4 linked regions of the Rhinolophus ferrumequinum genome follow. Each later gene encodes a partner of the first gene's protein in a complex. Links are inferred from orthologs where the notes say so. Each region holds a gene or a part of one and is shown in the gene's direction. Other genes may lie near its edges.

Region 1 (8,199 bases):
CGTGGCTACTGTGTTCCGTGCTCAGTGTGATTCCCCCCTCGTTGCGTGGCAGGTGTTTGACTTTGTCCTCTCCCCTCTAACCCTTTGGTCAGTGCCTCCCCACTATCCTGTGGTGTGCTGCCCCACTCCGGGCCCTCAGATGTGTAGCAAGAGGCCAGCTCGAGGGAGAGCCACACTCGGGAGCCAGCGAAAACGCCGGAAGTCAGTGACAGCAGATCCCAAGGAAAAGCAGACATGTGGTGAGGAAGTGGGGGCTGCAGAGGGCACGAGGACTGCGGACCCTGGGCATTTGGGCTCGCGTGGTGGCTGCACAGCGAGGCTGGGGTGTCTCGGGCTCCTCCCCCTCTGTGGCAGGGTGCATTTCAGCTCTTTTTAGTTGATACTAAATCAAAGTGGTGCCATTGTGACATCCACATTGTACGGTGCCAGGTCATGACAAGGTAGTGAGGTGACTAGGAAAAGGCCTGTTAGAAGAAGGGGCCGCTTGTGAATGATGGGGAATCTGGCCTTGGCCTGGCCCACTTGATCCAACCTCCTGCGTTAGGGCCAGGGTCTCTCAGGCCCTGGGAAGGAACGAGTCCTAGGGGCGAGGTAGGGAGTGTCATGTGTTGCCCACCCTGTTCTGCCAGCCTTTCTCGCACAGCCACCCCTGACCGCAGCCTCTTGTGCACGTCTTCCTCCCCAGACATCAGACTGCGGGTCCGGGCGGAGTACTGCCAGCACGAGACCGCGCTGCAAGGCAACGTCTTCTCAAACAGGCAGGACCCGCTCGAGCGCCAGTTTGAGCGCTTCAACCAGGCCAACACCATCCTCAAGTCCCGGGACCTGGGCTCCATCATCTGCGACATCAAGTTCTCCGAGCTCACCTACCTCGACGCATTCTGGCGCGACTACATCAACGGCTCGTTACTGGAGGCGCTCAAAGGTGTCTTCATCACAGACTCCCTGAAGCAGGCCGTGGGCCACGAAGCTATCAAGCTGCTGGTGAACGTGGACGAGGAGGACTATGAGTTGGGTCGACAGAAGCTCCTGACGAACTTGATGCTCCAGGCCTTGCCCTGACCTCCTTGGGGCTGCCCCGCCACTCACGTCTGGAGCGCACACTGTTCTGTTCTGGGGTTTGTTCTTACCCTGCCAACCAGTCACAGCCCTGCCTTTTTTTTTTTTTTTTTTTTTAAGGAAAAGACAAAGAACTATGGAAGCGGTGTCCCCACCCCTCCCTGCAGCCATGTGCCTGGGCTTCCTGTTTGTCCCCCTTCCCACTTACCCCATGTGTCTACAGCCACCTTGCCACTGAGCCAGAAGACAGATGTGCAGGGACAAGCAAAGGCTGTAGCGCAGTCTCCGTTAAGGGACTGAAGTGAACACTGCGTCTGCGTGCGTGCGTGGGGGTCAGCAGTGCTACTGGCTTCATGAGGGCTCTTAAATCCTGTCTGAAAAACCAAAGGGCTGTGAGTAAGGGAGCTGTGTGGAAGGTGGGACTCGGAAGTGGGTTTTGGAAATTAATCACCACCCTCTCCCAAATTACAGAATTTTTTAAAAACAAGCTGTGGCCCTTCCCACTGTCTCCTGGCCTCTGGTGCTGCTCCTCTGCCTCATTCCCTCCACACCATGGCCGAGACCTCTGCCTGGTGTGGCTCCTCCTTTGTCCCCTTTGTTAAACCCTCAGGGGAGAGTAGGTAAGAGGAATAGGTCAGTCTGGTCGCCCCTCCCCACTGACTGCGGTGTGTCTGTGCACACATGCACGGGTGGGCGGGGCGAGGCTGCTGATGAAAATAGACTCCCCCTGAAAAGGGGAAGGGGGAGTGTGAGCCTTCCTTCCATGTTCAAGTGAAAATAAATGATGGACCCTGCAGCCCTTTTCCCCTTTGCATCCTTCTGGCTTGGGCACAGGGCACAGTAGGTGAAAGTGAAGGAATTTAGTATCAGCTCCCTTTTTTGTCCACCCCCGCCCCCACTCCCACTCCTGGGCTTGGGAGCATGGGGCCAGGCCATGCACTGAGTGTCGCACTTTTATGTAGGTAGGGAGGCCTGTGGCGTGAGCCAGGAGGCCTGGATGGCTCCTAGTCTGCTGGTCCAGCACCACCTCCCATTTCAGCTCCCGAAGGAGATGTCCACACACAGACTTTATGATTATTATATTTTTTTTCAATGCCAGTGCTGCTCAGCCCTCAGCATAATTTCAGTTCTCTTGAAATAAACAGTGACTATATAAAATTCCACCTTTCTGAAACTGAAATCTGAGCTCAGGTGAGTTTCTTCTTTGCCAAGAAGCTGAGCCTCCAAGTGAGGGGAGCTGCGCCTGGGTCCTGCCCATAAGTTACAGCAACCCCGGCTCACAATGGGGGTCTCAGCGCCCCAAAGTGAGAAGTCTCAAGACAGTGGGCCACCCAGACTGCCGTAGAGATCAGGCCTGCGGTGCTGGAACACAGGCAGGTGTTGGCGCAACTCGCGTAGATAACGGAGGTCGATTCGGGCCAGGCAGAGGCCTGGTCCCTCAGAGCAGCGGGCCACCACGGTTCCCCAGGGGTCCACCACCATGCTGTGCCCGTAACTTGCTCTCTTCTCATGGTGGCGTCCACACTGTGCTGCTGCCACTACGTAGCACTGAGCTTCAATGGCACGGGCCCGCAGTAACACCTGGGGGTGGGGATGTGTTTCACTGACGCACACACGTAGCAGCTAGTGGGGAACTGACAGGCAATGGACACTGCAGGCCAGTCTACCCACTGTGACCATTCTGGTAACTGCCTAGGAAAGATTTACGATGTTAACTGTTCTTTAACATATGAGAGGCAACAATCTGGAAAATGAATTTTCTCACTAGTTGGGAAGGGAGAGAAAGTCTGTCAACTGGCAGGGCCGAGGGAAGACAGGTTGAGAGAAGGTGTGTTTTGAAGAGGTGTCCTCTTACCTCCCAGTGGGCTGGGCCTGTTACGGATCCAAAAGCCGAGGGGTAGGTAAGTATTTCTGCTCCAGCCTGAGCCAATGCCAGAGACAGTTCAGGGAACCGCATGTCATAGCAGATAGCAAGACCAATCTGGAAGGAAAACCAGCCTGCTTGGTTAGCCCCCATCCCGTCTGTCACAACACTGCTACCCTACTCCTTAGGGCTGCTGCTCCTCTACTACATGCCAGTGTCCCTGTTCCCCTCCCTCTCGTCCTACTATATGCCAGTCCCACCTTGCCTGCTGGTGTGCTGACGGGGGACTTGAGACTGGGCCCAGGCATGGTAGAGCTGCTTTCATGCATAGGCCCCTGCCCCGGAATCTCTACGTCACACAGATGCGTCTTCCTGTAAGTGGCCACTACCGACCCTGGAGTAAAAGAGAGGAGGAAACCTGGGGCTGGTTCTCTAGAAGCCCAGCTTTTAGTTCCTCTCATCCCAAGGTGATAGTTCATAGGCCAGGAACAGAAGTACGGATACTCCTGTTGAGAATTCTGGAGAATTGTTTAGAAAAGCCTGGGAAGAGGCAGACTAGAGTTATGACATCTCACCCTCGCTGTCCAGAAGCACATGACAGTTGTAGATTTTCTGAGTCTGCTCCCAGTCTTGGCCACGCTCGTGAAAGCCACCCAAGGACAGCCAGAGTCCACATTCCCTGGGGGAAGGGGACACTGACACTTCTCATATCTGGCAATCCAGAGACATTAACCAACAAAGAAACTCCCTCCCTCCCCCTTTCCCTGGTACCTGGCCAGCTGCGTATATTCTCCCAAAAGGCTCCCACCCAGTGGCTCAGACAGGTACAGAGTCTCTGCAGGGTCGCGTGCAATGAAGTCAAATGCCTCAGGCAGGAAAGCCAGGCAAGCGCCCAGTCGGGCGGCCTCTCGAACGAGCTCAGCACACGCTTTAAAGTTGTGCTGCTTGTCTGGTGTGGACGTTACCTGGCACACAGCCACCAGGGGTAGTGCCCCGGAGGAGGAGGAGGAGGAGGAGGAGGAGGAGGATGGGGAGTGAGCCATGGCTCTGGCCCTGCGGAGAGCGCAGGCAGGACTCAGATTTCCCAGCATGGGGAAACCCAAGTTGAACGGCAAGGGGCTCAAATGGGGAGGCAAGAAAGCTGGACACCCCTTTGACGCTGCTGTACAAGGAACAATGGCCCACCGATCAAATGTTCTGTGGATGGCTCGTACCCCACTGTCTCCCGCCATCCATTCATCCAACAGACATTTGAGCACCTACTACGTGCCAGGCACTGAAGATACGACAAACACGTTACCTGGGCTGAGCACAGAGTACTGAGAGTCGAGGTATCCGGAGTCCAGGGCACAGAAGGGACAGGAGCTGATGAGGCCTTACGATGAAGCCCTGCCTGAGGAGAGTGAGAAATAAGGACACCTACCCCTCCCTCAAGCCGTGAATTTCTAGGCTTCTCTGACTTCTCTCTTCATACTGTGCCGCTGAATCAGGGCCCTGCCTGTCAACACCCCCCTCCGCGCCCAAGTCTTGAAGACGCTCTTTGTTACAGGTAATTATGGGCCACGGGAAGAGATCACAAGATGGGAAGAAGGACGAAACCTCGACTTCGCGATCTCGCGTTAAACGGAAGCCCTCGTCCTCTGCCCGACGTCTCAGCAGTCCAAGGCCTCTCCCAGAGACTTCCTTGGTGCTCCCCGCCTCTCCTTTGACAGTGCACCTCCCGCACACCCCAGTCTGACGGCAGGTTCACCCTCCCTGGTTCCCAGCACCCGCGGTGGACGGGGGCGCTGGCACGCGGGCCCCAGCCCGCGCCCCCACTCTCCCGTTAACCCGTCCTCCCTGCCCTCGCAGCGCGGGCATTTCGGCTGCACAGGTCAGAGCACCGCGGGCGGCATTCACCGCGGCCGGCGGGACGCGGAGGAGGCCCTCCAGGAAGACACGGCCAGAACCACTCGCAGGGTCCTAACCCGAGAGCGGCCTGGAGGCGGCGGCGCAGGGGCGAGCGGGCGGAAACCCCGCGGGCGGAAGTGACGCACGGGTCTGCTCTGCGCGCCGGAAGCCCCTCGGGCGGCGAAGATGGCGGAGAGCAGCGGTCGCGCGGGCAAGAGCAGCGGGAGCGGCGCGGGGAAGGGGGCGGTGTCGGCGGAGCAGGTGAGGAGCGGAGAAGGCGGAGGAGGGCAGCCGGGCAGGGCCCGGAGGCGACGCGAGAGGAGGGCAGCCTGTGGCTGCTGCGGGCCTCACTCCAGTCCCGCGCTCGGTGCCGCTCACAGAGGGGAGGGTCGTGGGAGAAGGCAGCCGAGCCCTGCGGGAGAGTGGGCGCGTTGGAAGCTGAAAGCCGCGCCGCCGTGGGGTGTTGGGTGAGCCCCCTGGAAGCGAGAGCCGTCAGATGCAGGGCCTGGGAAGATGCACAGGTCTGGCGGGACGTGGGTCGTCACGTCCCCCTCTTTTCCGCACCCTCAGACGGGATGTAGCTGGGCCGGGCCGCTCGTAGCGAATCCCAGGGGGTTCGTCCTCGGGCTGGTTGTGTAGTGTTACCCGACCCTGAAACCAAGTTGACAGTTGCAGTCACTGCAGAGCCACGTGACGCACATAGCCGAACACTCATACTGTTTTGAGTCGGGAGTCATTATTAGGTTGAATTTCTTTAGAGGCCAGAAACCCTCTTCTAATCCGAGTTTGCATTCCCCCTAGTGCCCAGCATCGGGCAGCGTTTTATAAATTAATCAGAACGCCTTTTGTGGTTTGGGAAGCATGTTTTGCTAATAGTGGGGCTACTGTTTAATAGAGATGAGAAGAAATCTACACAAGAGAAAGGAAAACATAGCTAAACAGTAGCTCTTTTAATTACAGATTCCTTCAGTAGTTATTCGTTGAACAATTACTCAGGCAAATGTATCAGCGTAAAGACGTCTTTTTTCAAACTGTCCCTTGCCATCGAAGAGTTCTAGTCTGCTTGGGGAAAATACTCGTAAGATAACACGAAATGTTAATATAAGGCAGACGGTAAGTGTCCGAAGAGAGCTATAAAGTGCTGTGGGATTTTGAGGAGGGAGGAAGACATAGCCTCAGATTTAGTTGGGGAAAAGGGAAGGGAGAGGGAACCTGATACTTTTTGAGGGTCTGCTATGTGCCAGATACTCTGCTGGGTCCAGGGAAACAGACGAATGAAATAGACCTTGTTTTCAAGGTAGCTTGACTCCTTTGAGAAAAGACAAACCAAACAATAAGGTTTGCAGTGTTCCACACAGGCCCTTATTTAGGGCAGCTAGAGGAGGGACCCCAACTAAGCAGGAGGTTATGGGATTGGGGGTGGTGGCAGAAAGGGAAGCTGTGGTATAGCAGGGTGGCTAAGACTAAGATAAGAAATGCACCGGGGTCGGACAGACATGTGTTTGACCATTTCTACCATAGAGGATGACCTCCCAAGAGTTACTTCTTCGGCCTTTCCTGCCCTGTAGAAAACCTAATGGTACCTACCTCTTCATTGAATACTGGTTATTAAGCAAGACAATGCATGCACAGTGTTTTGCACCGTGACTGGAATATAGTATGGGCTTAATAAGTGCTAATTATTTTGTTTTCTAGAAGAGATAATCCTTCAGCTCCATTCTAAAGGATGAGAGAAGTGAGTCAAGCAAAGAGGAAGTGGAGGATTTTCTAGGTAGAGGGAACAATGTGTTTAAAAGCACTAAGATATGAAACTGCCTGACATGTTTGGGATGCAGGTGAACTTAAAGTTCGAAATGGTCTGCAAGACTTGAATGTGCAGAAAATAGGGTGAAAAGAGAATCTAGGATGTTTCTCAGGCTTTTGTCTTTGATGAATGGTGGTGCCACAGGGAGTATAGGAAGATGGACAAGTTTGGGGGGAGGGAATAAGTTTATTGTAGGATTTGAGTTTGGGTTTCTTGTGGGACATCCAGGTAGAGACATTTATTAAGTGGTTCGACTTATGAATCTTGACTTCCAGAAAGAAATCTGACTTGGAGCTCTAAGGTAGAGAATTGTGGCTTTCTGGATAGTAGACAGAGCCACGGTTGTGGATGAAATCATCTAGGGTTTGTACAGACAGTGAAAAAAGAAGCAGAATGGGGTGGAACCAACATGTAAGGGTGGTGGAGAAAGAAGCCCTCAGAAGACACTGAGGAGTGTGATCATTGAGTTCTGAGACTGTTCTTGCTTAACACTCTGGCTTTTGTTTGTGTTCCAGAGAGAACGCTGGGTAAAAAGCATAAGATTTATCATTGCTGCAAATAGGAGCCACATATGTCACTTATAAACAAGATGGAAGCAAGTAACTGATTGTGCGAGGCACTTTACTGGTTTTTCTCTTCTGTTACTTAATTACTGCCATTGAAGTAGGCTGTATTGTCTTCCCTTATAGATAAGGACAGTTGAGCTTCAGAGGCTTTAGTTCACTCACCCAGAGTCAGTAACTGGAAGAGCAGGGCTTTTAATTGAGGGACTTGAGAATCAGACAGACCTACTTTTTTCACTTATACAATGATCAGACCAGAAGAACGTGAACTGAGCCTGAAGGAGTGGATAGTTTTGAACAGGGGTAGTGGAAACAGGAAGAAGGGGAGAACACAGAGCATAGATTGATGCGAAGGGCAGTGACCGGTTGTTTTAATGAAGTCATGAGGTATAAGTCAGAAAGATGTGATCTTCCAAGTAAGTTGGATGTTTGCACGACAAAGAATTCTGGAGTTGTTGATGGAAGCAGGGAGGGAGTGATAGAAGGGTATGTGTTCCACTATTGAGTTTTTTTCCTATTACATAAAATAATACACGTTCATTGAGAAGATTGTAGAATACACAGGGAAAAGTACAAAGTAAGAAATAAATTACCATGACCTTGCAATCGAGAGAGAACCATTCTTACTGTCTAGGAGCATATTCTCTGAGAGATTTCCCCTCCTTGTGTGTGTGTGTGTGTGTTTGTGTGTGCGCGTGTGTGTGTGGATAAAAAGGGAGGACGTGTGTATTTTACATATTTTATAACATTGTCATTCTACAATATATACTGTTCTATAAAAGTTGTATTATATAATATATACTGTTTTGTAATCTGCTCTTTAAGCTTAATAATACATCATGAACATTTTTCTATGTCATCTAAGTGTTAGGAAAATGAAACCAGCAGCAGTGTGTAGGATGGATTTGGAGAGTCCAAAAATAGGGAGATAATTTAAAAGACTTGTACTAGTTCAGACAAGAGGTAATAAAGGCTTGAATTAGGGTGATGTCGTTGAGCCGAAGAAAAACTGCTGAGGT
Region 2 (7,835 bases), on another chromosome or scaffold:
GATTCTTAAAGGAGTTTGTGGCTCAGTCTGTCTCCTTTCAGTCAGCTCCCTGTTAGTCCTACCCCACGAGAATGGGCAGAACTAGCCAATCATTGTAACAACCAAATGAGCCTCCACCTATTTTCGAAAGTATCAACTTGGAACAGCCCTAGCTAGCCCTATTGAAAATCAGTGGAAGTAAAAGAGAAGACATATCTTCAAAGATAACTGGGCCAAACATTTCAGAGCCTAGTTTTGTCCATTCCACTGGCTCCTAAACCTGTGTGTCAAAATCATCTGAAGGAACTCCTGATTCATCCATTTAACACATACTTAAATAGTGCTTACTATGTGCTTGTAGCTGTTATAATAAACACTACAAATATTAACTCATTTAATCCTCGTTACAACCCTTTGAGGTGGGCACTATTATTAGTCCCATTTTACAGATCAGGAAACTGAGGCTTGAGAAGTTAATGACTTACCAAACTCACACATCTAATAAATGGAGAAGCCAAAATTCAAACCCAGCCATTTTGGTTAAAGGTTAAATGGTTAGCACTATGTTATACAGCAGACAACCATATTCCATCCACAAACATTTGGTTTAATAAGTCTGGGAAAAGGACTGAGAAATCTATTTGTATTTGAACAAGACTTTCAGGTGATTTTACATAGTGAGAAGGGCACCCACCTACTAACTGGCATTTGGGGACCACAGCCCTATTCCATACCTCCTTTGGGAGAGATGGGAAAGAGACTTTTGTGGCTAGAGACAAATCTGTGGCTAGAGACAAATCCGTATTATGAGAAAGCAAGGGAAAACTGTGGTTGGGGTACTATTCATCTAAACCTTGGAAGCCAGGCTAATAATATACATCACTTTAACAAAATGGTGAATGGTAAACTATGCATTATTAAACAAAATGAAATACATTAAGAATGTAGCATCAGAGGAAGTGTATATATAGCATTAATAAACATGAAATTATCCTATTAAGTAGAATAAACAACAGCAATGGACTTAAATGAAAGAAGAAGTACAGCCGAGCTAGTTACATGGTGAGCTGCTGATGGGTAGTCCTAAACCAGTTAGACAAATGATACCAAGTGTGACTTCAAGCACTGCCGGAGTTACAACAGCTGAGGGGGGAAATAGAAGCAATTGGAGAAACACAAAAAAATAAGATAAAATGTGAAAGAACTTTGAAAACAGTTCAGCACCATACTAATAAGATTATCATATCACTACTGCATTTAGTATTATGTCATCTTGGGTGACCCATGTAAATCAGTGGAAATATCAGCACCAGGCAGAGCCATAACCAACAGCCCACCCCCAAAAGGGCATGAACAGCTATAGAACAATCAGTAGGGTTTCTGGCCACTCAGTATGGAAATCATGTGGGTCAAAGAGTCAATTCAAGCATTAACTAGAGTTCCCAGTCAGGCAGACACTGCCATAGGAGGAGGGGTAATATTCATCTAAACCTTGGAAGCCAGGCTAGTAATATACATCATACATTAGCCAGGATAATAATACAATACACACAATAACACACATTGGTCTACAAAGTAGACCAATATGCTGGTGTCTCTTCAGCTTCAAACGTCACCATCACTCTGAACACTAATTAAAATGTCACCCCAGGTGTCAGGGGAGACATGTTCCTAGGTTCCTACCAGCTTAACTGTGGTGAACCCTAAAGATTTGGGGGAATGGAGTTAAGAAAAGACGAAATTTCAGTTTTTAATTAATATAATATTTGGCAGTAAAGTTTAAAAAAAATTATCTTGTGAATAAGGCTTCCAAACTGAATGTACTGTGCCAAAATTTAAACATATTTCATAGTTTCTTTTCGGCGCTAGGTATTATAAGCCAATGCAAATCATCTTTCATCAAATCATCTTCAACCTACTATATAATTCCTCAAGTTTTGTCTTTCATTGTGCTTTTTCATATTCTGAAACAAAATAATTACTTTAGAACTCTCTTTTTCCTTACAAAACAAGACTCATCCCATTACCTTGCATTCTCTATTATTCTTGCCTTTAATGTGATCTTAACCACCCATATTAGTTACAACTTTTAACCAATTTAATAACTTCTGTTTCATAGAGAGAACTGGAGGTAGATAATTAGTAACTGTCATATGCAAGCACTTTAGCAAACAAAGTTCATTCATACACATAACTGTCTACAGCCACACACATTCCCTTTACACCTTCTGAAAATGTCAAAAATGAACATGTCCCTTACATTATCCAAAAGGATAGCCATTCTATGGCATATAAAAACAAGAAGCAAAAGTATGTAAACTTAAAATTATGCTTATATTAATCACTGTTTCAGTATTCACCTTTTAAAATAAATTATCTAGTTATCTAATGATTAATCATTAATTAACTCCATTTGATATTTTCTCAGGGTTTTAAGCTACCTAAAAATTTGGAATTGTGTTTAAATTTATACGGTACGAAATATAATTATTGTTGACATAAAAAGTTTGTCTGAATAATTACTCATTTTAGTGAATACCAATTTACATTTCTCATAAATTTAAATATTCTGTAGCAGTAATGCTAGCTTATTTAATCAGTAAACCAGTGTATGAATTAGGAAATTCAGATTAAATAATCTCTTCATGAGAAAACAAATCTAAATGTCATAAAAAATAAAACATCTACTTGTATTTTACTTAGCATTGATAAATGCATTTTCTCTCTTAAACCCAAATTATTAATCCAGTCTGATTTCTCCAAAAATTCACTTTAATTTCTCCAAACATATGCTTCAAATGTTTCTAAGCTAGCAGAAGGACTTTATTTTCTTAAAAGTCTAGCACATTTAAAGTATTAGAAATTCTGGGCTTTTTTTGAATTTTGGGATTTATACAAGTGCATAATTATGTCTATAGACTGCCCTTTAATTTAAGAGACATTATAATGGAATTTATTAATACCCTCCAAAAGTACAAAAACATTTTACATTCTCACAGCAAGATATACAAGCCATTCTAAATCATAGACACAGACACAGACACTTTATAGCTTCAGTGTTCCAACCTCTATCTCAGGTTGAAAGTAAACATAAAAATTCGCTAGCCCATATCTCAAAAAACTGGTCTTTCCAATGAGCACAAAATTCTTAATTAATTTGAGCTTGCAAAGGACAAACAAAAAGATTAAAAACTGGATTTTCTGCCATCTCTCTTCCAATAGAGACTGGATCTCCATCACCCAACAGATATCACTGAATGATTAGGCCATAAAGCCCAATTCCCAATCGCTGCTGCTACCAATGTGTAATAGCCACGCACAAATCAGAAAGAAAACCAAAATTTTTTTAAATCCTTAAAAATGAAAACAAACAGTAAACTTAGTTTTATAACCACTCTGAATTTATTCAAAGAGCCAATAAAAGATAATCCTGGGCTTAAACAACCTATGAGGTACATTTCCTTAGCAGAGTTTGGCTCCATCATGAGTCCACACGGGCAGCTTCAGGAAAACTTGAGATTTTCAATGTTAAAGTATAATTTTCAAAAATATAAAATCATATTTGTCATGCAAATATAAAATGAACATATGTCAAAATCTTATTCAACTCATTAACTGATGTTGGAACAGGTAAGACATTTAAACCAATTCAGAGGGTCTGTGAGAAGATAGGCCTATGTTAATAAAGACGCGTTAGTGTAGGATTGCAGGGTTAGACACAAAACTGGTTAATGCCTTACAGAACAATAAATCATAACCTGTGGGGTTATCCGGTCCACCAAATAGAAATTATTTGCATCTCTGCCAGACAAAAATCTACAGGTTAACCTCTGCCCCTACAGAACTGTAAAATTGCCCAGTCTATAGAAAGTCAAGCCCACAAAAGCACTGAAAGAACATCCAATAATTTCTTGCCTGTTCCCAAGTTTTGGATAATTTTTCCCATAGAAGTGAGATACTGCAAATACTGTGTGGGACGTACTTATACTAAAAAGTTATTCGTTTATCTGAAATTCATATTTAACTGGGCATCCTGCATTTCCCTTTTAACCCCAATAACACGTTAACAAAAGCTTTACCAAGTCTGTACAGTTTCGTTGCCAACAATGTATCTCACATCTGGGCCTCGGCTACATAAAAAATATTAACTAGAATTTCTACTGCGTTTCTATTCTTCATATTTACCACTAGGGGGCGCATACAACTCACAGTCTACTGGTTGCGAGAATGTGAAGAGGTCACAAAAGTCTTTCTATATCGGATCCACTAGGGGACTGTTCAGGAACCTCCCAGATTTCACAACCCGGCTCTGCTCACGCGCTTCCCTCAGCACCTGTGCGCACGCGCGGAACTGCGCTCATACCGGACCCGGACTGCGCAGGCGTTGCAGTGAACGCGCAGACGCTATTGGTAGGACTCATGGGACCGGGGAGAGGGAGGAGGTGGAGCCTTGGGATGGTGGACGTACTGAGTCGGGGGGCTCGGAGGCTGCTGAGGCGCTAGCCGGGCTGCGCATCCTGCATGTTTTGCGCTCGATGGAGATTCCCTTCCGGGAGGCGCGCCCAGAAAACGGAGCCGGGCTGGTCCCAGCCGACAACTCGGCCCCTCACAAAGAGGAGCTTAGCTTCAAGGTGAGTGTGGGACAAGGCGAGAAGGCCCACGGGCGCGGGACGGGGTGCCGCTGGGCCTCAGAATGCCCACCGCTGCAGCATGGCCCGGCCTCGGCTTTGCCCACCTCGGCTTCGCTCTTTTTATTCTTAGCTCTGGACAGTTACAGTTAAGGGGGATCCTGAAACTTGCCCCGAAATTAGACCCAGTTGGGGCAGTGGGGCGGAGATTTAGTTGGGATTAAATTTTTAGAAATACTGCCCAACCCAGATCCGCTGCCGATATTCTCCATCTCAGAAAGTGTCACCGCCATCCATTCAGTTGTCCACCATCCATTAAGACTGCCACTAAGTTGGGAATCATCCTTGACGTCCATCACGTCCTATTCGTTCTGCTTCTGAAGCTCATTTCACATAAGTCCCTTTGTCACCGTGTACACTCTTAACCATCCTAAACCAGCCACCTTCATCTACTTACCATCGGAAACCCAGCAAAGACTTTCAAACGCCCTTTATCATCCATCATTACCTTCTTCCAATCTATTCTCCACGTTAGCCAGAGCAACAATCGATCCTAAAACACACGTCTTATTGTCATTCCTCCACCCTCCAAAAAGGGGGAACGAAGCCAGTATAATATAAATCTTAACTGGCATTAAAAGACAAAACCTTTAAAAATATGTTGGAGATGGGGATGGTTATAGCCTTTGAGATACAGATGTCCTCGATTCTTTGCTTCAAACCCAAACTAACATTGACATCTTGGGCAAGTCTCTAATCCCTCTGTATCACAGTTTCCTTGTTTGAAGTAAAGAGAAAAATGACCTGCCGTTCCTAAAATGAATGGGAAAGCGATGTTCAAACCTAAGTTTCAAGGAGGTTGTGCATGGTCTTCCAATTTAACTCAGTCTAGTCAGTTACTGCACTGACTTAGCTGGAAAGACAGAGGGATATACACTCCTGGTGGGTGAATTTTCAAACCACACATAGTCCACTCACTGCCATAGCAAGCCACTTACACTGATATGACAGATCCCTGAGGAGTGAGGCAGAACAGATTATAAAACCTGATTTTAGAGATACTAGTGATACTATGTGATCAGTCATGTTCACAAAATAACCACCATTACTGAAAAAAGTTAGAAATTCAGTTTCCACTTAGTTGAGTCCTTTCCTACTTATAAAAAGTGAGGCCTCCTTCAGCAGTGTCAGCGCTGTGCCAGTCTTTGGCATACAAAGACTAATGAAGAAAGTTGGAAAGTGATAGGTCTTACTGCAGGTACAGCATTTAGTACACGTGCTTGGGCTGCACCATATAGTACACAAATCATGAAAAGTGTTGGTATTTGGTGGGGAGGGGGAAGTAGCCCACCCCTCATTCCATTTGCTATTTATTATTGAAATAAGCTAAAACATAAAAGAAATCATTGAAAAACTGGTGCCTAGTGTCTGTTTCAAGTAAAAGATAAAAACCTTGATTGTTAACCATGGCCCTTGAATGAATGCTGGTTACCAACACCAAACCCTCTGTTTGGATTCAGTGGGTTGTCTAACACTTGGCAAGTTTAATCGCTGTTTCGTCCCTCAGCCTTTCCACACCTGTACCCTCGCACAGACTGCTGTTGAAAAGAATCTGTGTTCACAGATTGCCAATTTGGACAATCAGTACATTATAGCCCCTTATCCCATCTCTACTTTTTTTTAATGGGCCCTCATTCAGCATACTTCAAGAACCTCTGATTTAAGAAGTTTTCTTTATTTCAATAGATTAAAGAACAAAAAATTGTTGTGGATGAACTTTCTAACCTGAAGAAACACAGGGTAAGTTATTAGAGTGATTCTGAATAGTATATGGGAGGGTTTGATTCTATCTTATTAACTGTATACCAAAGTTGTAAGAATTTTATATATGATTTGTAAGACTTCATCATTTTTTTAAACTTCAAAAGTGAAAAGTGTCCAAGATTATGTAAAATCACATATAGATATCTGTTGATAATCATATCTATAAACATACAGATAATCATAGTTGATATTATATTTTTCCCCATCATAAAACTCGTACTACCTTAGAATCAAGTGATACTAATGCTACTATGGTATCTTGGAGCTGTATTCACTAATGATATTTATTTTGTACTTGAATTTGATATTTTCTTTAGAAATAAATGAACTTTAAATATATTGAGGAGAGAGGGAACTATTCCTTTAAGTGAAAGTGGATAATTGTTGAAAAACAAAAAGGATAAATTACTTCTCCTATCCCTCAATCTTTTTTATACAAATCTTCCAAATATTTAATGTGGTTATTTAATGCATCCATAAACAAGCAAGCTCCTGCTTCATCTGTAGTTATACTGTCAAAAATTACATTTTAAAGTTCAGAAGAAATGATTTTGTGCTCTTTAAAGCATATTAAAGATTTGATAACTGACAGGTTAAACATTTCTGATGTTGTCACTTAGGTAATATTAGAGGTTAAAGCACAATTGATACAGACTTTCTAGAGAACAAATTGGCAGACTATATCAAAACCTTAAAGGCATACAACACGTTGACCCCACTGTTCCATTTATAGGAATTGATATTTAGGAAATAATCATGGGAGTGTACAGAGATTTAGTTATAAAGACATTCATCACAACATTGATTTTTAATAGTGAAAAGTTGGTAACACCTTAAATATCTAAAACTTGAGGATCGACTAAATAAACTGTAATATGTTATACAGTAATGTTGTAAAAGACCACTTATTAATAAGAAAAAAGTATTCTCACTGTATTGTTTATAGGTAAAAGCAAATTATATAGTGTATAGCAAAGATTTGAAGGAGGATTTACTCTATAATTTTTGTAAATTATAAATGTGTAGCAGGCTTTTTTGTTAAAGAAATATGGTATTATGGTACAGAAAAAAGAGTTTTACCGCAGTGACAATGGTAGCAATTTCTAGATGTCGGGATAATGGGTAACTTTTGTTTATCTGTGTGCTAAGGTATTGTTTTGCAAATGTTACTGAAGTTCGAAAATAAGCGGTAATAGGGTTCAGAGGTTTGACATCTGTTGCTTTTTAGATCAAATCATAATGTTAGTCCAAATTATGTTTTTCAGAAAGTATATAGGCAACAACAGAACAGCAACATATTCTTTCTTGCAGACCGAACAGAAATGCTTTCTGAAAGCAAAAGTAAGTTTTTTGTGTGTATTATATGGAAATGCACAGAAAGTTTTTTGTAGGCTTTCTATAGAA
Region 3 (7,595 bases), on another chromosome or scaffold:
GTTTTCTTTAGGGTTTTCTATATATAGGATTATGTCATCTGAGAATAGAGGTAGTTTAACTTCTTCCTTTCCAATTTGGGTGATCATTTTTTTTCTTGACTAATTGCTCTAGCTAGAACTTCCAATAGAATGTTGAATAGAAGAGGCTAAAGCCGGCATCCTTATCTTGTATTTGATCTTAGGGAAAACAATTTCAGTCTTTCATCATTGAATATGATCTGTGTTTTAAGATGGGAAAGATTGAGTATGTTTATATCCTGTGGGGAATGATCAGGGAGAATAGGTGGAACTATACGAATAAGGAGGGTAATAAGTGGAGAAAGGCCTCTGAGAGATGTAGTGGGGCCCAGATTGTTATCTGGAACCCAGTTAGTAGAGATACCTTGACTAGGAGGAAGGTCATGTGTGTCTTTGAGTCAGCACACAAGAAGAACCCAGCAATGCCCGGCAGATTGCAACTTAGGGTGGAGAGGAAGAGTTGCTTCCCAATCTATCTTCTCTCCTTTTTTTACCTGGGAATAGAATTTTTAGTGGGGACATGTATCTTTTCAGCTAATGACTATGTTTATCAGCCTCTCTTCAGCTATCTGTAACCATTTGATTAAGTATGACCATTGGAATAGGAGTAGAAATGATGATGCAACTTGAGGTCAAGGTTAAATGGAAGGAGCATAGCCTCCCTTCCCCCTTTTCTCCTTCTTGTTGGTTCAAACATAGGCTTTAGGGGGGAGCTTGAGCAGTTATCTAGGGCCATGCACTAGAAGGTGTGTGTGGGGAATGGCAGAATAAGAGAAAGAGGAGGACAGATTCTTAATGATTATAGAACTCACCAGGTGGAATGCTTGCTTGGACTTTATGTGAAAAAATGTAAATTTTATCTTGTTTAGTTCACTATTATTTTGTATCTCTCCATTACTGTAGCTGAATTAATATCCTAACTAATATGACATTTAATCAGTAGTTGGGCAACTCTGTGTGCTCAATTGAAGCTGGAGACCATGACAGTGTAATGGCTCCATGGGGACACTGAATAATTGCCTGCCGCCATACACAGCAGCCTTCATGAGGCAGTGGAGAAGGTAGAGGTAGTCTTGATCTGGGCATGTGGGTTCAAAGGTCAGGTGTGAAAGAAGTCAATGCAAGGAGGGAGCAGAAGGGTCGGAAACCAAGTGGCTGAGATGAGCAAACTTGGAATGTAAAAAAGATGGGTTGGAGGGATTGGAGTTGACACAGCAAGGGTCATGGGAGTGAAAAGAGTGAGAGAATTGGCAGTTCTGGTGTTTTCACACAGCACAATTCTGGAATGTAGCAGTCCACACAATTATTTGCATATGTATCATCACATTGATGCGGATTTTCAATACCCACAGATAGAAACCTAACTCAAATTATTTTAAGCCCCAATGTGAGTGCCATACAACATTGTAAGAAGGGCAAGCCTGGATCTGGGAATGTAAAGGAATTTATCAGGAATCTCTGTCAGCTTTCCTTTCCTATGTGTTGGCTTCATTCTCAGGCGGTCTTCCTATGAAGTGACAAAGATGACCTGGAAACCGATGACCCAAGTTTTCTTTCCTGATTTTTCCAGTAAAAGTGCCAGGACTGTCATTGGACTGTTCACTCACATTCCCAAACCAATCTCCATGTCCAGGCAGATGAGATACTTTGATAGGCCAGAGTTCTGTGTCCATCCCTAAAATAACGCTGGGTGTTAGGGGCAACCCATCCAAAGGATTTGGACTCAAAGTGGGGGAAGGGTGGTTCTCTAAAGAAAATTAGAGTGATGGTAGCCAGAAGAATTTGAATGGATTCTGGGTAGGTAAAATAACCCATGTCTACTACTATGGGTCTCAACTGCCCTTCATTCACCTTGTGTATCTCGGACACTGGCCCACCACATAGACTTCCGTCAAAATGAAAGGAACTGTCTGGCTCTGCAACCAGGTCTAGCTTCTTTGCACACCAAATCTGGGGTCAAGGACTGTCAGGCAATTGTTCCATTTGTGAAGTTGGACAGTTTCCATCCCCTTTGAGGGCCTCTGTTGCCTAACCTGTAAAATGAGAAGGCTAAGCCAGATCAGTGATTTTTGAACTATTCATTAGCAGTAAAAAAAAAAAAAAAAAATGGAACAGCTCTGGTGGAAGGGGAGGTAGGGGCATGGAACAGGTATCCTGCACTCTCAGACTTCCCCTTCCCCACTCATAGTGGCCATGAAAGAATACCACAACTCCAGGGAATGTGGTTTGAAAACCACTGGACCAAGGGCTCCTAGGAATTCCTCTAAACTCCAAAGTCCTTATCTCCTACCCCCATATTTGGCTGGTAGGAAATCTTTCCCTTTACTCTGTGCCAAATAATAAATGTAAAAATGGTCTTCTCTCCTAACTGGACAATACACAAAGAAGTTAGTTCCATACAGTACCTCATTTTGACTACTAGTTGGAAGAAAGTCTTCCCCTTTCACAGTGTGAAAGGAATTGCTCTTAACCAAGGGTCATAACCAGGAATAAATTAATGAGATGCTAAGCAACCTTCTGGGTGTCCTAGAGGTGATATCCCTAGGGTTGATGTATCGCAGGTCATCAGTAACAACCTCAGCTCTCCAAGGCCTTGCTTCTACTCTTTTGGGCTCTGAAAATGCCACAACATTCCATTTACTGATAGAAACCATTACCAAGTCCCAGAAAACCCAGTTTGTAAAATACATGCAGCAAACTGCATGATTTCAAGTGTGTATGTGGGGAGTCTAGAATCTTATTTGAATTCATAAGAAGGCTTACTTGTGAGCCAGGCTGTGTACCAGGCACTGGGGTTAAAATGATGAACAACACAAATGTGGTCTACACTCTCATAATGTTTGTAGTTTAGTGGGAGAGACAAACATTGACCTAATACTCTTGCAAACTAATTAGAAACCCAGATTCAAAAGTTATAATGGAGAAGTACAAAGGGATGTGAGTCAGGAACTACTGCAGCTGGATTTGACTTCAGGTCTGTCTCAACCCTAATGTAAGCTGTCCTATGTTCTGGGCAAGTCTTTCCCTTTCTCTGGACCCCAGTTTACTCATTTGTAAAAAGGTGACATGCCACCTGCTTCTGAAGAAGACTTATCCATTCATCAGGGTTTGGCCCAGGCATTATCACCTCATGACGCCTTCCCTGGCATTCGAGGCTGTTCTAGGTGGCCTTGCTCTGGGCTTGCACACCAGGTGGGGTGTACATGTTCCTGCACATCTAATGTTGCAAATTTCCTAACTAAGGACTAAGCTTATCAAGGCTGGAGATTTTGTATTTTATCTCTGTATTCCTAGTACATTGCAGTGTCTGGCTCAAAGCAGGTGCTAACAAATATTTGCTGAATGAATGGATGGATGGGAGAGTACACTGTGGTACAGGGAGTGTTAATATCATTATGGAGCCTGACAGGATATATTTGCTGGCTGATTGTCTCATCTGAGGTTGTGGGATGGGATGAAGATTATACAGGCTGTGAAGCCTTAAATCCTCAGCTGGAGTTCCAATTCTGTTAATTACTTGCTGTGCGTTCTTGTGCAAGGTTATTGGGCCTGTTTTAGCCTGTCTTTATCTATATTAGGAATTATACTACCTTACTGGGTCGTAGAGTTTTGGAAACATAAAATGTTATTTGCAGCCAACTTAATTTAAATAAAGGGAGAGGGTGGAAGCCAGGAGAAGCAGAGGCCAGTTCCATGGAGGATACCCAGCAGCACATGGGTGGGAGTGGTTGGCTGGGGTGGGCCTTCCCCGGGAGACGCAAAGGCGTGGGAGCCTGAAAACTCAGTAAGCAAAAGTCAAAGCTTTCGCTGTAAACCTGTTTCACCATCTCCAAAACGGAGGTAAGAGCTTGAACTTCTCTGAAGGATATGACGGTCCAATGCGAAATGCACAGGATGGCACGGTTAAGACTCACACCTCAGTGCAGAGTCCCAGCCCCAGACGAAACTTCGAGCTTATCCTCTCTGTGTTACCGCCCCCGGGCCAGAGCAGGAAGCTTGGGCTGCGGGGGATGCTAATCCGGCAACACAGCCGGAAGTGGGTGGGGAGAGCCCCCACGGCCGCCGCGATGGGCATAGTCATGAGCCAATGGAGAGCAGAGGCGTTTCCGCCTTCGCCAATGGATCGCCGACCAAGGCGGGCCCTGACAAACCGCTCTAGTAACTGCCGCATGGTAACCTGGGCCCCGGGTTTGGGCAACTGTCTCCTGGTTTTCCACTCAGGTCTTGATTCCGGACGTCTGCAGGATGAAGATTGAGGAGGTGAAGAGCACCACGAAGACGCAGCGCATCGCCTCCCACAGCCACGTGAAGGGGCTGGGGCTGGACGAGAGCGGCCTGGCCAAGCAAGCGGCATCGGGGCTCGTGGGCCAGGAGAACGCGCGAGAGGTGTGGCGGGCGGGCCAGGGGATCGGGGCGTTGAGCACGCCGCCGCCGCGAGGGGCCGCTGAGGTGGGGGCTCAGACCTGGGTGTGCGCTAGGGTGTACCGCTGACGTTTCTTCGGAGCAGTGAAAATTGGCTGTGGGGGCGGCGAGGGGGCGCCTCATGGACTGGGAGTGGAGCCGTTCCAGAAGAGCAGGTGACGGCCCCACGGGGGCGGTTGACTGCTTGCTTCATCTTTGGCAAGTCTTGAGGGAGTCCTCCACTCCGTGCCATGCTCTGTTTGCGACGCTGGGATCCAGCGGGGAACAAGATAGATGAGGTTCCTGCTCTCATGGAGCTTACATTTTAGTGTGGTGAGAGACGACAAACGTTTAAGCCAGTAATTATTATATTTTATTGGAGACCACTTCCTGCGGGGCTTTGCTGACCGTGGGAAGGAATTTGGATTTTTATGAACGCAGTGGGAGGCTGTGGGGGTTTTAAAGTACGGGAGTGATCAACCTGAAAAAGCTCACTTTGATTCCCAGGGCCTGGGACCTGAAGGAGGGAAGTGGGAGTTACAGAGAGGAGCAGCCTGCTTCACTCATGCTCAGCATCCTATTGACCATTCCAATTCAATCTACTTTTATTAAGTGGCAACTATGCTAAGTCCAAAAGTATTACATTATAATCACAAAACTATTCAAGCTTTTTTTTTTTCAGATTAAAAAATTGAGGGTGGGAGAGGTCACTTCACCTATACTCTTGCCACTCAGTTTAGTAATGATAACGGTAGGATTTGTACCCTCGTGTATTTGTACCCACGTGTACACAAATTAGTGCTCTCTCAGCTTGCTGTGCTCTCAGATCCATGCCTCTTGGCCTCCCCACTTAGCAGCTACAGAAACCTTAATTGAGACTGTTTCCTCCTCCCCTAATTGTACTAATACAGAGGACCAAAGAAAGGTCTCTGGCTTCCATTTTGAGCATCGTCTTTCCAAAAAGGAAATATTGGTATGGTCAAGGTGGCTTTCAAATTTCTCTTTATGTAGCTTCTGCTTACTGAGGACCTGTTACAGCAAATAGCTGACATTGGTTGAGTGCTTTCTATGGGCTAAGCACTGTACTAAGCAGCTTTATCTCCATTGTCTTGTTTTCACCACCCTAATAATTGTTTCTCCCTGACTTTAGGACACACACAAAAAGTTGTAAGACTTGTATATTGAATACCTGTGTGCCTAAATTCTACAGTTAACATTTTACTCTGTTGCTTTATCATATATATATATTCATTTATCCATCCACCAGTCCACTTTTGCATTTCAAAATAAGTTGCAGACTATAGTACATTTTACCCTTAAACCCTTTAGCATGTATGCCACTATCATGAACCATTTCAGATAAGGAAATTGTAGTTCACAGATGTTAAGTAGGTAGGTCCAAGGTCACTCCGCTGGTAGTGGTAGAGCCATGATTTAAACCCAAGTCCAGAATCCATGCTCTTAACTCTGATGCTGTATGCCTCTGTACAACTATGAGCTTCCTGAGCATAAATATATTATTAATATTATTAAATATCCAGAACTTGACTCTTTATAGGGGCTCGGTATTTATTTATTGAATTAATAGGCATTCCACTTCAGCTACCAGGTCCTTGTATGACTCTGGTCACATCAGCAGTCTTGTTGGTGTTTGATATCCTCATCTGAAAAATGAGAGAGTTTGACTAGGTGATCTTTTAAAGGCCCTTCCACTTTTTTAAATTTTAGTACTCACTGAACATACCTCACTAGAGAAAAGTTGGAGCCTAAACTGACGAAGGTTAAATGGAAGAGGTCCTAGTGTGTGAATAAGAGTACACATCCAAGGTTTGGAAAGTCTCTTCTATCTCTTTTGAATTTCCCAAAGACTTTCAATGCTGAGGATTATGATATGACAGGTTCTATGGAAAAAACCATAGTGGCTCTGTTATCTTTTTAGAAATGCAGCATCCGAAGACTAGCTTCTAGGCTCTGTTAAGGGCACTGTGCTTTTCCAGCTGAGCCAGAAATGGAATATAGCACATCTACACGCATTCCTTGAACCCACAGTTTCTTAGGGGCTGTCATAAGTGTGGGATCAAGGTACTTCTCTACAACACATGGGGAATAGTGGTAGAGGAGATAAGATAGATTCCCAAGACTCTGTTAATAGGGTAGTGTTGTCACTGCCCAGAGAGAAGAGCTGTGGCCTCCCTTAAGGCAAGGAATTTGATCTTGAGGATTTGGAAGGCGTTTAGTGAATCTTAAGGTGCCACAGGTTTAACCTCATACAGCATTTATTTTGTAGCATCTTGGGATGGTTAACTGATGGCAAACTAGTAGTATATGTCATTGATTCTTAGCCCTTAATAGGTTAATTTGGAAATCTGATGAAAGCTGTAAATCTTCTCCCTGGAAAAATGTACAGATGAACATATACGCACACTTTTATTTCCAATTTCATTTCCAATTTCAGAAAGTTTGTGGGCTCCTGGAGACTATCTCTGGTCCCCAGGCTAAAAGTCACTACTCTCATTTGTACTCCTACTGTCTGTTCCTCCACACAGCAGCCATCAAGATCTTTTAAAAACAAATCATCATAACATGATACATAGCCTAAGACCTTTTCAGTGGCTTCCCATTACATGTAGAATAAAATCCAAATATTACTGTGGACTCTCTAAAATTCTGTTCTGAGTTCTGGCCCCTGCTTGCCTTTTTAACCTCATCTTCCCATTCTTGTTTGTTATACTTTGGTCATTGTAGCCTTTCTGTCCCTCGGACATACCAAGCTCATTACTATATTTTGAATTTACTATTTCCTTTGACTGCAACACTGACTTCTGCCCTGCCCAGAGCTTCACATATGAGGTATGATCAGAAAGTACGGTGAATGTTTAAATTAAAAATTTATTACAGTAAAAGACACATTGCCATTAATCCCCCTCAAAATACTCCCCCTCGCTTCGAACACTTATCGCATCATTCTGGCCACTTTCTGAAGCAGTTCTGGAAGTCCTCTTTTGTGAGTATCTTTACTTCACCCTCCATCATGACAATGCTCCGTGTCACACATCACTTCTGTTACAGCAACTTCTGTCAAATAAAAACATCACGGTGTGTCCTCATCCACCTTACTCACTGGATCTGGCACCCTGTGACTTCTGGCTCTTCCCCGAAGTCAAAATGACCATGAA
Region 4 (8,015 bases), on another chromosome or scaffold:
TTTTCGTCAAACCTTGGGACCATCTGTTGCCTAATGAAATCAAGGCGTGGGGAGTTGGGAGACAGGTCCCCACCTGACATCCCCATCTGGCTGCATGACGTTGGGAGGTCCCATCCCCTCTCAAGGCCTCAATGTCCTCATCTGCCCAACGGGAGTCAGATTTCTACATTACCCAGGGATGTGGGAGGATGAAGTAAGGGCAGAAGGAGAATTGCATGAATATAAGGGATTATTCTCTGGGTCAGGGGAGGAGAGGGGGTGGAGGCCTCCCCTCCACTTACCAAGCCAAGGGCACAAAGGAAGCAGAGGGAGGAGCTGGGGACCACCCACAAGAGCAAACAGACCATCTGTGGGACAGGGCCATGTTGTCAGCAGCTGGGAGGCCCAGCCTGGACTACTCAGAGGCCAGAGCCCATGGGGCAGTGCTCAGGCTGCCTAGAGAAACAGGATATGAGCTGGCTTCTCACTGCCCCAGCCCCCATGCAGCCAAAGTCCTGTCCGTCTCCGTCTCAGCGTCCCCATCATCCCACCCCTCACACACACACACACACACACACACACACACACACACACCCAGAAGACTGCTCCACACTTACCTCTTTTAGCCCATCCTATCCCCACAGACAGAGGGACTTTCACAAAGTAAACCGAATCACGTTCTGTGCTTGCTCAAAACCTCCCAGTAACTTCATACTGGTCTGGGGGGAAAAATACAATCCCCTTACCTTAGCCAACAAAGTCTAGCATGATCTGCCATTCCTGCCCTCCACCCTCCCCCACCTTCAGCATTGGGGTTAAGAGCTTGGCCTCAGAGAGAATCTGCCTTGGTTAGGATTCTGGTTCTTTTTCGAATTCATTTAAAAATGTTTATTGAGACCTACTATGGGCCAGACACTATTCTAGGCATTTGGGATATATCAGTAACAAATGAGACAAAGATCTCCGCACTCATGGAGCTTCCTTTTTAGCAGAAGGAGAGTAACAATAAATGTAATTACATAGCACGTGGGAAAGTGACAAATGCTATTTTTAAAAATAGGTTTTTGGTGGGTGTTTTTTTTTAGGAAGTTGATCAGGAGTACTGGGCGGGGTAAGGGTTGCAGTTTTAAATAGGGTGGTCAGGCAGACATCATTGAGAAGATGGAATTTAAGCAAAGACTTGTAGGAGGTGAGGAAGGGATGCAGATGTCAGGGGAAGTGCAGGCACAGGGAGCAGCCAGTGCAAAGGCCCTGAGGTGGGACTATGCCTGGCATGTTTGAGGACTAGCAAGGAGGTAGGAGATGCCTCAGAGAGGTAGGGCCTTGTGGACCTTGGTGGGGCATTTGACTTTTACTGAGTGAGATGGACTGTTGAGGCGGGTTGACCACAAGGGAGTCGGGGAGGCAGGACTGGGAAGGAAGGAAGCCAAGCAGGGCTTGCGGATGTCTCGTGGGTGGCCGCTTCAGCCTGGCCCACAGGGAAACTTGAGTGTAATTATACTTCAGAGTTATCCACCCACAACCCCGCCAGCTGCCCAAGCAAGAAAGGTCATCTTTCATATTCCTGGGTTAGGGGAAGGGTTAGGATGGGTTAGAGGAAGGGTAAGTCTCCCCAGGAGGCTCCAGCAGCCTTGAGGGCAGTCCTCCCCAAGGAGGGAAGTGGGTACTGGTCACTGAACACTTATCCAAGGGGGGTGCACAGAAACAGTAAAAAGGGACCCAAGGGGAATGGGTGAAGGATCGTTCTTCCTGGCTGCAGTCCCCAACGCCCCAGCAGCCATGTTCTTTTGGCCAGGGCTTCGGGTGGTTAAAGATGGGGGGGCATACACCAGTGTGACCAGGTAGAGTTTATTTGGTTAGAAAAGACTTAGTAGGTATCACCCCCATTCAGGACTGCAGAGGGACACACCCTCTGCAATATTCCGACCATGTGGCAGTCCAGCCTTAAATACCTTCTGGGATGGGAACCACTTACCCTTGAGTTAGCTCTGTTTATCTTTGGATACTTTGTATTTTAGAAATTCTGCTTCATATTGAGTCCACTCATTCATTCTGTAAACATTGACTGAGCACCTACTGTGTGCCAGGCACCATTGTAGATTCCAGAGACACAGCAGCGAACAAGACAGATAAGGTCTCTGCCTCGAGGAGCTCACAACTAGAGAGGGGGATGATTAGAGAAAAAAAAGATGGTGAGGTAAATGCAGAGATGGGGGAAGCCCAGGAAGCTGTGGGGGACAAGAAGGGACTCTTGACCTATGGGAAGAGGTGACAAGCTGATAAGTGGGGGATACGTAGTAGTTACACAGGTACAAAGGTGTGGGAGAAAATTAATCCAGGCTGACTGAAGAGTGTGTGCAAAGTCCCTGAGAATCTCACCAGTGCTCACCATCCCCACTTCTACCCCTGGTCCAGCGACCATGCTATCCCACAGAAGGGCAAAGAAACTGGGGTATGCAGCCACTAACTCCTTTCTCTTCTTAGTTGAGGGCCATTTCTGTGGACATTGACTCACTGCATTCTGCACACAACCTGCATCTGTGAGCAGAGAGAAGCAGGAAGCCACAGGTATGGGCAGCAGTGTCTGCAGCTGACTTCCAAGGAGGGCTTCCGAGGCCTTACATGTTGCATGTCTCCTTCCCCTTTCTGTCCTCACCTCCTACCTTCTCTCCCTTGCTCATTCAGTTTCACCTACAATGGCCTTGCTGTTCTTCCAATTTCCAGGGCATTTGCATCTGCTATTCCCTCTGCCTGAAATGCTCTTCCCCCAGATATCCACATGGCTCACCCCCTTACCATCTCCATCTCTCTGCTCAAATGCCACCTCTTCAGAGAAGCCCTCCCTGATAACCGTATCTCAAATAACCCCTTCATATTCCCTCTCCACCTTGCCCTGGTCTATTGTTCTCCAGAGCTCTTAATCACCACCTGACATGATATATTTACTTGTTCATGTGTTTTTTTGTCTGTCTCTTCCACCAGACTGGAAGCTTTTTGAGGGCAAGGACCATGTCTTGTTTTGCTCGTGGCAGAATCCCTATAACTGGGCTGTCAATAAATATTTGTAAAATCGATGGTTCTGAAACAAGAGTCCTTTCAGGTCTAACTGTCTCAATGTCTTGGATATGACCTCCCTCTCCAGCACTTCCAGTTGCCAGGGGTGCCCTCTAAGGGCCGGTCACAGCCAAGAATTTGTCAATTTGGGAGTCTCCCTCAACCCTTCCCCATTCAGGCCCATTTGGCAGGGGTCAGAGGTCAGCCTGGTCCAGGCCTCTTTGGGTCCCAAAGTGGAGGAGACCCAGTTCTGGGGTCTAGGTCCCAGGAATGCCTAATGAGCCCCATTTTTCCTTTGGCAAATGTTCCCCCTTCCTTCCCAGGGCTTGTGTCTGCATTTCTGAACCAGAAGGTGTTTACACAAAACATCCTGGGTTTGGCGACAAATTCACCCTCAATGAGGAATCCTTAATGAATCTCCTTCTTTCCCTATACCAGGCAGCTGCAGGGAAAATTAGCTCTGCCTCAGGCAGTTGAAGGCAGCCAACGGCCAGGCAAAGAGGAGATGCCATTGAGACTTCTAGGGCCACAGTTTTGGAGAGGGCTTTTTTTCAGGGTGCAGAGATTGCTGTGGAATGGAGGCCAGAGAGCTTCTAGACCCACATTTGCTGCTGACATTCTAGATGACAAAGCATGGCCCTTCTCCCACCCGGAGTCTGCAGCTGTGAGATGGGGCAAAGGTTATTGTGAAATTCAAGTAAGGCAAGGGGTGTGCAAGGGCTTGGTCACAAGGGGCCAAAAGGGGAGAATAAAAAGCTAGACTTGGAGGCAACAGATCAGAGTTCTAACATCAGGTCCGCTGCCGACTTTTAAAAGTCCTTGCCGCATTCTGAGCCTTGGTTTTTCCAGCTATACAATGAGGGGTTTGGGCATGATCTCTAGGGAACCCTCTGGTTCTGAACGGCAGCCACTTGCCATCTGCCTGCCTCTTCTTGGAGGTCCTCCCCGATCCTACAGCCCACACTGACTCGCTTCCCAGAACGTACAGAACTTCTTTTCTGAGCTGGAACTTCATTACTCACTGCCTATGGTTTTCCAGCCCTTTCCTTAGGTCTAGGTCAACTACTCCAGACAGTGGGCCCAACACAGAGGTCAAAGTGCATTAAAAATGATTCCTGCCTCCTTCTGATCCTGCGGAAAGACAATGAGGGGGATTTTTATTAACCCCTATTTTATAGATCGGAAACTGAATGTATAAAATTAAATATAAGTCGCACTGCCATATGAGCCTCCTTGGTGTTCGCCAAACAGGGCAAGAATGATTTGTTTCTTTCCAAAGCCCTATCAGTGCCTGCCAGAGTATATAATTATTTGTTTTGTCGTTAACTGTTGGTGTTTCCTACTAGGATGAAGTTGCACGAGGGCAGGGACTTTTGTTTTGCTCACTGCTGCATCCTCAGTACTTAAAACTGCCTGTCACATAATAGATTGGTGCTCAAGAAATATGTGAGGGGAAGAAGGAAGAGATTGAGGCCACACTGCGGCCTGTGCTCTCTGGGCCTGCAGGGGGCGCTCCAGCCCTGCCCCCAAAGCTGGGCCCCGCCTCTCGCGTTCGGCTGACGCGCATGCGTTGGAGCCTGCGCGCCGCCGTTCGTTTTTTAATTGCGCATGTGTACTGTGAGTCCTCTCAGAGCGGCGCGTGCGCAAGCGGAGCTGGAGCAGACGGTGAGCAGGGTCGCGGCCCTGCGGAGTTGGAGCTGCCGGTGACGATGCTGTCCCCCGAGGCGGAACGGGTGTTGCGGTACCTGGTGGAAGTGGAGGAGCTCGCCGAGGCGGTGCTGGCGGACAAGCGGCAGGTGGGAGGCCCGTCCGCGGCGCTGGCGCCTGGGTTCGGCGGTTGCGGCCTGGTGACCAGCGCCGTGGGGAAGCGCGCGGGGTCCGGGATCTGGCTCCAGCGCCGGCTGGCAGTGAGTGGCCCGGGGCTGGTGGTCCGCTGGCTGTAAGGACAGACATAGGGCAGTTGTGAGATAACGTGGTGGAACGCTGGGCACGGCACCGCGCTTCACCCATTTATACGGCACGTCTTAGGTGAGCGCCTGCTGTGTGCTAGGCATCCCCTCTCTCTCCATCCTTCCTCTGCCCCTTACCGTGCTCTCCGGATCCCGCTCCATTACCCCTTTGGGCGGTTTACCTGAACCCCTTTTTCAAAATGCAGTTCCTGGTACTCTCAGTGACTTGGGTTGCACCGCCCCAGTCAAGGCCCTGAAGGGAGAAGAGGAATAGAAAAGAGGCCTGAGTGGTTTGTGATTGCGCAGGGGTGGGGACGCGGGAGGAAGGTGAGGCCGGGGTCGTAGAGGGCCTTGTGGACCTGAAGAGGAAGCTCGGGCCTGGTTCTAATTGAAGTGCCGGGTGTTTGAAGGGAGTTCATGGGGGGCGGGAGGATGAGATCATTGGATTTAGGTTTTATTAATAAAAGGATCCCCCTGGCCGCTCTGTGGAGCACAGACTGTAAGGAGGCAGGGGCCTGGTGGGGGCCAGTTGCCACAGTCCAGGTGAGGGATGGGTTTGATCCTGGGCGGCGAGGATGGAGACAGCGGATGGGTCAGAAATATATTTTGGAGATGGCCTTAGTCTCGATGATGGTTACATAGGGGTGAGAGCGTAGGAGGAGTCAAGAATGAGTCATGACTCTTCATCTCCAGTTAGAATGATTGATCGATTGGTTGGTCTGGTATTTACTTCGAGGGAGAAGACTCAGGAAGAGCTTATTGAACAGGGCATCAAGGTGTACTGGGCGATGATGATAGTAGTTAAGATTTATTGAGTACTTACTGTGCTAACTCATTTTGCTCCTGGCTCAATGACTAGGAGGTGAGTACTGTTCGTATCTCCGGTAAAGAGGAAGGTGGAATTGCACAGCACATAGCGGGCAGCAGGATTCAAACCTGGCTATTCTGGCTCCAGAGCCAGCGCTCTCAAGCAGCACATTGTACCGCCTCCTCACTTCCTTAGCAGCTGTTGTGTTGTTACCACCGTCTCAGTGTCCCACCCCTGCTGATCCAGTCTAGTTAGTTGGGCTTCTCATGATACTAATTAAGAATCAGCTGGAGGAGCTTGTGCAGGGAGAGGTTTCCACTCCCCTGGTGATTCTGAAATGCCCTAAAGCCTGTGAACTAGCACTCCAGTGGATAATAAAAATTATCCGTTTAGTTAACAGACGTTTTCCCAGCACCTTCTCTAGGGGGAAGACACCTGTACAAAGCATGGTCTTTAAACATCTGAGAGCTAAGTGGGAGAAAATATATATTCACACATCAGCCCATTTTACTTTCAGGACACTGGAAGTAAGCCAGGAATAACGCCTTGTTGTCTCTGTTAGGTTTTAATAGCCCCTGGTCTGTTGTGAGGTGATAGGCTGGGGCAAGAGGTAACTGTGTTCCCTCCTGCCTCTGAACTTTTCAGATTGTGGACCTGGACACCAAAAGGAATCAGAACCGAGAGGGCCTCAGGGCCCTGCAGAAGGATCTCAGCCTCTCTGGTAAGTCATGACTTCCTTACTGCAGCCGAGGAGGCCTGTTCCGTTTTCCATCTTGTACTTAATAGAGAGACCAGGCAGGAGGCCACAGGTCTGTGGCACGGCCTGCCCCTGGAGATAGGGGAGAACATTTCACAGGTCTGACACTGTGGCTCAGGGTTTTAGCTGCTCACCTCCATGACAAACCATTAGCCACTGGCTCACCAGTGGCATTAGGAAAGTGCTGGGAGGTATACAAACTGCGGTTCTTGCCCGTGTGTTCTACAGATGAGTAGAACGACATAAATACATAATTGAAAATTGGGAGGAAGTTGAAGAAGGGACTAGACATGGGGTAGGTGTTGGAGGAGGGAATGGGGGCTCTTTAGAGGCCAAGTGGCTGTAACAGAGGAAGCATAGGGGAAGGGCATTTGATGAGGCTGGGAAAGATGGGCCAGAGGCCAGGCCACAGTGAAGGGAAGTTTGAATTTTGTTTAAAGTGCATTGGAAAGTCTAAAACCTTCCAGTTGTTTCTCATCTCACCAGAGTAAAAGCCAGAGTCCTGCAAGACCCCATGTAAGCCAGACGCCCGTGAGCACTCCAACATCATCTCTACCCTCCCCGCACTCAGTGACTCCACTCTCACTGCTCACCTTGCTGTTGCTAACACCTCAAGCACATTCCTGATCTTTGCTCTTGCTGTTTCCTCTGCCTGGCTCACTCTTTCCCCCCATGTTTGCAGGACTCACATCCTCACTTTGTTCAAATCTCTGTCCAGATGTCACATAATTGGTGAGGCCTTCTTAAACCACCTGGTATAAGAAGTCCCTCCCCTACTCTGGCATTGCCCAGGTGTCTTACTCTCTACAGTAGTTAGACTTGTCAGAGTCTGACAAATGATACATCTTTGCTTGTTTATTCCTCCTCCTCCACTATGACTTAAGCTCTATGAGGGCAGGAACTTTGTCTTGTTCTGCTGTGTCCTCAGCATCTAAAACAGTGCCTGGCTGGTAGTAGGTGCTCCGACATATTTGCTGAAGGAATGCATTTGCCATTTCAGACGATGTGATGGTTTGCTTCGGGAACATGTTTATCAAGATGCCTCACCCTCAGACAAAGGAAATGATTGAGAAAGGTAAGGCCTCCTGGACATGGGTCGGGGACACAGCTGCCTTCCCCACCAGCCTTAGTCTTCACGCAGAACTGAGAATCAGGCTTCGGGCAGCTTGATGAGAAGCGCCTGTGTTAGAGGGTTCAGACTGATGTTGCTTTCAGTCCCTGCTCTGCGGAGTTATTTCATCATCTGTAAAGCAGGGGGTGGGTATTGCGTGTCTCCATAGCACAGTTGTTGTGAAGTTGAAAGAAAACAGTATGCGTGTCTAGCATAGTGCTTGCTTGTCTGTGAGGAACAAGTTGGACCACAAATAACAGAAAACCCAGCAAACTGAGGCTTAAGAAAATATAGTTCTGTTTTTCTCAGGTGAGAAGTCCAGAGGTCAGCAGCCAGGACTGGCACTACTTCAGCAAT

What was found.
Region 2: PFDN2 (region 1) and ASDURF share a complex: the UniProt entries of both Homo sapiens proteins name them as parts of the PAQosome complex. The link is inferred for Rhinolophus ferrumequinum from reciprocal best matches to the Homo sapiens genes PFDN2 and ASDURF.
Region 3: PFDN2 (region 1) and RUVBL1 share a complex: the UniProt entries of both Homo sapiens proteins name them as parts of the PAQosome complex. The link is inferred for Rhinolophus ferrumequinum from reciprocal best matches to the Homo sapiens genes PFDN2 and RUVBL1.
Region 4: PFDN2 (region 1) and PDRG1 share a complex: the UniProt entries of both Homo sapiens proteins name them as parts of the PAQosome complex. The link is inferred for Rhinolophus ferrumequinum from reciprocal best matches to the Homo sapiens genes PFDN2 and PDRG1.

What each region holds. Positions count from the first base shown.
Region 1 is NC_046305.1:2,296,000-2,304,198, reverse strand, and holds the start of PFDN2 (prefoldin subunit 2), read left to right. Parts: upstream 1-4,933; 5' UTR 4,934-4,999; coding exon 5,000-5,074; intron 5,075-8,199. Other genes in the region: DEDD (death effector domain-containing protein), read left to right, coding at 93-239, 686-1,062; NIT1 (deaminated glutathione amidase), read right to left, coding at 2,374-2,640, 2,915-3,040, 3,184-3,317, 3,499-3,602, 3,695-4,155. UniProt on the Homo sapiens protein: Binds specifically to cytosolic chaperonin (c-CPN) and transfers target proteins to it. Binds to nascent polypeptide chain and promotes folding in an environment in which there are many competing pathways for nonnative proteins.
Region 2 is NC_046291.1:39,095,982-39,103,816, reverse strand, and holds the start of ASDURF (ASNSD1 upstream open reading frame protein), read left to right. Parts: upstream 1-4,372; 5' UTR 4,373-4,514; coding exon 4,515-4,610; intron 4,611-6,353; coding exon 6,354-6,407; intron 6,408-7,696; coding exon 7,697-7,772; intron 7,773-7,835.
Region 3 is NC_046302.1:1,213,923-1,221,517, forward strand, and holds the start of RUVBL1 (ruvB-like 1), read left to right. Parts: upstream 1-4,167; 5' UTR 4,168-4,263; coding exon 4,264-4,467; intron 4,468-7,595. UniProt on the Homo sapiens protein: Possesses single-stranded DNA-stimulated ATPase and ATP-dependent DNA helicase (3' to 5') activity; hexamerization is thought to be critical for ATP hydrolysis and adjacent subunits in the ring-like structure contribute to the ATPase activity.
Region 4 is NC_046306.1:22,577,063-22,585,077, forward strand, and holds the start of PDRG1 (p53 and DNA damage-regulated protein 1), read left to right. Parts: upstream 1-4,655; 5' UTR 4,656-4,742; coding exon 4,743-4,829; intron 4,830-6,435; coding exon 6,436-6,511; intron 6,512-7,547; coding exon 7,548-7,622; intron 7,623-8,015. UniProt on the Homo sapiens protein: May play a role in chaperone-mediated protein folding.